Saccharomyces cerevisiae S288C: one gene and its partner. The gene in region 1 interacts genetically with each later gene. Each region holds a gene or a part of one and is shown on either strand. Other genes may lie near its edges.

Region 1 (4,117 bases):
TTCCATGAAACCAATGGAGCCTCAAAAGTAAGAATGACTGATGCCGGTAAAATGGATACGAACTCTCAGTTCCAAGAAATATGGGAAATATTGGGTAAAAATGCGTACACACATAAATCTTACTCTGAAGATCCAAATTCATGTTTGGGATCAGCACTAAGCGATCATGAAGAAGAAGAAGAAGCAGGAAAACAACAACAGCAACAGCAGCAACAACAGCAACAGCAGCAACATTATGGAATGACGTCGAAGTCTAGCAGTCCTGATGAAGAAAAAAAAAATAATAAAGAACCGAAAAGGGAAAGCAGAGTCTCTCCAGAGGAAAATGGCGAAGAAGAAACGGGACACAAACAATTTAAATTGCCCAAGACCAGTACTTTTTCTAGTGGATCCCATGATTCAAATTTGCAATCTCCTTTTTACAATCATGAGTATCGACATTACGCAAGAAGTAAATTCGAATGCAAGAATCAGTTTAGAAAGTCAGTTTCTCCCATTAAAGAGATACCTGCAACAACTAGTGCCAATGAAGGATGGAACATTTTGAGAGACATTATTGAAAAACTCAATATAAGCAATGTAGACGATCGAAATAAAGACTTGCTGTTTCGTCGGGATGAAATAGGTGATAAAAATCACAGCGACTCAATCGACATAGAAAATTTATCTATCAAAGAACCTAAAGGGATGAAAAGGAGAAAGAAAGATGATATATCTTTAGAAGAATTGTTCCAATCTTTACCAAGAGAAAAAGATTATTTTATGATGGATGCAATTAATGACTCGTTAGAATCAATCAATCTTTTTAAAAAGCCGAAGACCACTCAGAGTCACGAACAAGGTGGAACTTTTGCCCAAGCAGAAAGTAATCGTGCAAAATTCAAACCGTTACTAGAACAGTGTGGAATTACACCCGAGATCTTAGATTTGGAAATACCAGAGATTCCGGAATTTGATGCAGTGGCTGACCTTGAAACATTGAAGCTTAACGTGCAGCTGTTTAATAACCAATGTAACAAACTTAAAGAAACAATACATCAAGTATCATTACAGCGCCTGAGAGCAGATACGCAGTTCAGTGATATGTTAACCCAAAAGCAAAGTATTATGGTTTGGAAAACATACCTAGAATTTGATAAAAGTTTAATGGACAAATTGAACATCTTACAAGAAAGACAGATGCAGGTCATTAAAATTTTTTCCGAAAGATGTGACGGTAAAGTATAATCGAACGCTCTTCTTAATGAGCATATACCCGTCGTCCTTACGCCAGGATGGAAATAATTTGAATGAATAATGTAAAATATATAAAAGTATCTAGTCAGTACATTTCATGTCTCAATTATTAATATCTTAAATATATATTTAGTTATGGAAATTCAATAAACTACTGAAATAAATAGAAAATTCTTACAGAAAATGGTAAAAGTAAAAAAAAATTACCAAAGGGTGCACTTGGCAATTTAAAAGTACTTATAAACTGGTTTGGCTTCCAAGTGAATGAAAGTGCTATGGGATTATCATCAGGTAAGTACAGTGTATCTTACTAACATTGGCCGAGCGTTTATTGTTGTTCCGTGGAAGTTTATCATGATTTCCCGCCCTTAATCGAAATCAAAAAAAAAAAAAATAAAGGGTAAGGGATTCCTAAAAACCAACAAGATGAAGGGCTGATCTGCAAGAAGTCTAATAGACTTATAAGGAATACAAACCCTAGTTCTTGCATTTCACGTATACATCTTCAAACCGTGCGAAGCAAAGGCGCAGAACAATGTCAAACGAGGATGAAACAACTCGTTTAATGTCTTCAGATGAGATGGACTATTTATTGGAAACGGCTGGGATCAACGCCTTGGAAGAAATCATTAGTCAAAATGACAGTACTGGAATAAATTTGGATACTAATGAAACAGCTCAGGACAGTAGCTATGACTCTATCCGGCGCTCCCCCAGTATTTTGAGTGTTGCCAAAAGCGTTGAGGGAGAGCATGGACGTAGAAAACTATTATGCCTTTACGGCCTTGTTATGATTATCTGTATTGCGGAGTCTATTTCTATGACTGCTACAATACCGTTGGTGATGGACAAGGTAGCGGAAGGAATTTCAGATGAGAATGGACATTATGATTCCGTGGCTGTACAGACAATAGTTTCCAGCATTTCTTCATCCACTATGATGATAGCAGGGGCAATCAGTATTTTCATGGCTGGTAAGTGGGGAGAATTATCCGATAGAATAGGAAGAGTGCGTGTTTTCAAATACATGAGCGGCATCAGGGTCATAGGGCTTCTTACGCACGTCTTTACCCTATCATCGAAAATGAAGTATCACAAATGGGCTATTGTTCTTACTGCGTGTATCGTACCATCATTCGGTGGCTTGTTTGCGCTAGTGGCGAATGGAAATAGTTACGTTTCAGATATAGTGAAAACTGAGCACAGAATGGTGACAATAGGAATAATGATGAGTTGTATATATGCCACTATGGGCGTAGGCCCAATGTTTGGGTCCTTTCTGGTGAAGTGGACTCATGGAAACGGGTTCATTCCTATTTACACATCAATAGCGTTTGTTATACTGGCGCTTATAATATGTGAGACAATCATGGTGGAACCGCGCCATGAAACCCAAATGGCCCATTCACAATCAACTTATACAAAGAGGAGAGAGAAACTAAGATCACAATCGGGTTCTGACGATGCAAGAAATTACCAATCCGTTACTTATGGAAAATTTCAAATAATGAGGTTAATGGACCTGCTCGCTCCAGTAAAAAAGTTATGGCTGAAGCCCGACAGTGCAGGGTCTTTAGTACCCCGGCATACCGTAATATTACTCATTGTACTCGATATACTATTTGTCTGTGGAACGACATCGTGTATGCCAGCATTGATTTTGTTTTCTACATATGAGTACAAATGGCATGCAGTAGAGCTAGGTTATTTCATATCGATACTGGGTATCGGAAGAGGTGTTGTGTTACTGGTCGTATCACCTACATTACTGTACACGCTAAAGAGGATTTATCAACACTTGAACCATTCGATAGACAAGATAGACATCTTTTGCATACAGTTTTCTATGATTGTTATAACACTGAGTCTCTTTGTCATGATACGATTTGGCGAGAAAACTCCCACATCCATGATAATATTCGCTCTTTTACAGGCATTGAGCGCGTTTTGTTCACCAACTTTGCAGTCTGGTATCATAAAGTACACCTCTAAGAAACATACAGGCGAGATGTTCGGAGCAATGGCTTTGGTAAGGTCCTGTGTTATGCTTGTCATCCCTCCCATCCTCCTTAAGCTATATGGAAGTACTGTCTCCGTTAATCCTAGTCTGTTTATGTATATACCGTTCTCAACAAGTATTGTTGCCATCTTGTTGACATTCTTCCTAAGAATTTACAAGAACCCTCCGCTGGACGGGCCTTAAAAACATTTACATACCGTATACACCACATATTTTTAGTTACTTGTTCGAAGCTGTGCTGCTATTCGTTCTTGCAAAGCCAGTGTCCTAACGACTTTGCTTATGACATGATTCAACATAGTGTTGTTGTGGTTTTTTCTACGTAATCATGATGATCTTTTTTTTCGCGCTATTAGGGGGGAGGGAAGGCGGGATCTGGTAAAAGTTTGACATAATAATCAAGGGGGATATCGTATCCCTTTACTTGAAAACTTGAAAAATATTCATCTACTATCTCTGGCCAGAAAAACGTGAGAATTTTTAGGTGCGAAACATCATAGAAGCTGCGATTGTATCCATCTAAGAGTTTTAATTTGATAAAGCTAAGGAATCTGACCCTATACTTTTTTTTTTGTTTGGCTTGCTTGCATTTTCAATCGGCTTCAAAGGTAGCACAGAAAGTAGTGTTCTCTTAGCTTAAGCAGTGCATGAATTATAGCTGATTGTGTGAAAGAATCTTTTTTTTGGGTATGTCGACTGAAGAACAAAATGGAGGTGGTCAAAAGTCTCTAGATGATAGACAAGGTGAGGAATCACAAAAAGGTGAGACTAGTGAAAGGGAAACAACAGCCACAGAGAGCGGTAACGAAAGTAAGTCTGTAGAAAAAGAGGGTGGAGAAACCCAAGAAAAACCGAAGCAGC
Region 2 (2,719 bases), on another chromosome or scaffold:
GCAAAAGCATGCTCCGAGTTTAGTATATACTTCCACTTGATAAAGTTGTAGCGCAAAGGATGCTTTTCTTAATGAGAAATTCGGTATACTACAAGAGGACATCCAATCGTGCTTACAAAATTGCCCTGGAAGACATGATTGAGAAGAAATGGCGAAATATGTCTTTTGGTCAGATAGTCTGTAATCGCATATAACAGTATGCTTGGTTTGCTCTTTATCACCACGCTTTTCCTCTCTTTCCAGCGCGAACCATGCAATGGCCAGCTTTATGAAATTTAAACCATAAAGTCATATGAGACCAGCAATCAGACCATATATAGCCGTACTATGCTATAACGGATAATTTGATAGATACTAAACAGTTTTAGTTCACATTTCTCGTCTAAAAACAATTAATTTATTATAACAGACTCTATAGACTAAATTGTATGTATTTTTTTTTTTGACAAATTGGGGGCGGTAGCCTTCCAAAGTCCAAGTGAACTTATGTTCGTTTTGTCTTCTTTTCTAATGAACACCTTCGATAAAATTCCATAAATGACGGAAAATGGTTCTAGTTACCACCTCTTAGTGTTAATACCAAGTGGAGTTGCATTCCCTCTACTAGATGTGCATCCGTTACTGTTAATTTATCATCACTATCCTGGTCGTTAGTAAGGTCTCAAAAACGTAAATAAACTTAAAAGATAATTAACCACTGAATGAACATACATTTGTTTTCCCTGGAATATAAGTCTTTGTTGAGATGGTGGAATCCCTTCTTTTTCCTCCAAAAGTTCCTTGATGTGATATACGAGATCTGATTCCTTCAGCTCAACAGAGATCTCCTTCCCAGTCAGTGTCTTCACTTTAACAATCATCGGTTACGGCTGTAAGGAAGTTAATTACCTTCCTTTATTTATTCCTCTGTCGGAATACTTCATTTGAATAACAGAATTTTGGTTTTTCAGCTAAAAGTTGTTCGTTTGCCTTCCCGAAGACGCCATCGGAATTTGATTTCATATAAATATTGATATAATTATACTCTGAAATATAATATTGATAAACTTAACACAGGGTGAGAAAGGTGAAGTATGCTACCGACCCCTTATGTAAAATGCGATTACGATAAAGTATATGAGCCTGCTGAGGATAGCTTCCTCATACTGGACTGTTTGGAAAAAGAGCATGATTTTTTGAAACAGAAATTTGGTAATCGTTTGGCCATCGTTTGCGAAATTGGTTCGGGATCAGGTATCGTCACAACATTTCTAATGCAAAACAAAATAATACCGCAGGAAAATTCCATCCACTTAGCTGTTGATATCAACCCATGGGCGCTCGAAGCAACTTTGGATACTGCGAAGTTAAATTCATGTAAAAGTTCTTTTTTAGAAGTGATTCAAGCTGATTTAAACTCCAGTATTCGGAATAATCAGGTTGATGTCCTAATATTTAACCCACCATATGTGCCAGCAGAATGTGTGCCAGATGTCCCAGGATCAAGAGAGGAGGCAGACCAATGGCTAGATTTAGCGTTATTGGGTGGAAAAGACGGGATGGCGATTACTGATAAACTGCTACGACAATTAGAACAAATTCTTTCTCCAGATGGTGTTGCATATATATTATTTTGTGCAAGAAATAAGCCTAAAGAAGTCATTAAGAGGTTTGTCGATACTTACAAATGGAATGTGAAACTTATTGAAACGAGAAAAGCGGGATGGGAAGTCCTCAGTGTGTACAGCTTTACAAGGTGACAGTTGCAAAACCTTTCACGTTATAATTGATAACCTGTGTCTTTACTCAAAGCGTATAACTATATTTCGGTTTATAAAGAAAAATTCATAGCTATGCTCATGACAGAATATCTTTTTTGAGATCTTCACCACAACCATATAAATCAACTGACCCTAGTCCGTAAACTTTCTCATAATGTAGATAACTCAAATTCTGGAAGAAGCTTCTTAGTTGCGTGTGTCTCTCGATTTTGTGAATGCCTCGTAATAATGGGAGACCATCTTTTAAAGTTGTCGGTAATTCAAGATCATCAGTTTTGGTTATTTCGTAATCTTTGAATTCTGCGATTTCATCTACCAGCGCGACGAATGAGTTCGTTTTATATACGCAATTTATTGTATCAATAACAAAGATCCACTCATTCGTAGAGGTGAAGCCTTCCATGTTGAGTAAGAGTAGCAAATCCAAAGTTTTACATACTTGCAATATTGTTTGTGGATCGACTTCTGACTGTATTTGAAGTGATTCATAAAATTCTTGCAAATTAGTTTGTAAACAGTAACTGATCATAGACCAATAGTCATTGAAATGGGACTCTGAAAATCTTAAAAGTAAAACCCTTAGTAAGATCCAGCAGCTTCCCTTGAGCTTGATATCTTTGGACACCAAATAGTGGAAAATGCAACTTATTAAAGAGGAAAAGTGCAACAAATATGCGTCATTTGGCGATACCATCAACAAGTACGATATTTTCAAAAGGTTTTGGCACTTGTACTCGACTTCAGAATCGCTTCCTAAGTTAAACGTGATTAAAGTCGGAGTCACACTTGAACGCTTGGAGCCAATTTCTAATAGTAAATCGTTCAAGATTTTTGACTTATTTTCTGGATAAATGGACCATTCGTAAATAATCTTTTCCCAAGTTTGATCGCTGCCAATTACCGAAAGTTTTTTGTCATTTTGGAACAATTCCGCAATTAAAAGCCTCCAACTTTTAACT

What was found.
Region 2: mutations in YJL163C (region 1) and RUB1 together harm fitness more than expected from each alone (negative genetic interaction), as found in Saccharomyces cerevisiae (2 studies listed by BioGRID).

Annotation. Positions count from the first base shown.
Region 1 is NC_001142.9:110,988-115,104, reverse strand, and holds YJL163C (uncharacterized protein), read left to right. Parts: upstream 1-1,771; coding exon 1,772-3,439; downstream 3,440-4,117. Other genes in the region: JJJ2 (Jjj2p), read left to right, coding at 1-1,227; cAMP-dependent protein kinase catalytic subunit TPK1, read left to right, coding at 3,946-4,117.
Region 2 is NC_001136.10:733,065-735,783, forward strand, and holds RUB1 (NEDD8 family protein RUB1), read right to left. Parts: upstream 861-2,719; coding exon 712-860; intron 639-711; coding exon 554-638; downstream 1-553. Other genes in the region: MTQ2 (S-adenosylmethionine-dependent methyltransferase), read left to right, coding at 1,074-1,739; DOP1 (Dop1p), read right to left, coding at 1,837-2,719. UniProt on the Saccharomyces cerevisiae protein: Ubiquitin-like protein modifier that can be covalently attached to lysine residues of target proteins. Activated by the dimeric UBA3-ULA1 E1 enzyme and conjugated by the E2 UBC12 to substrate proteins.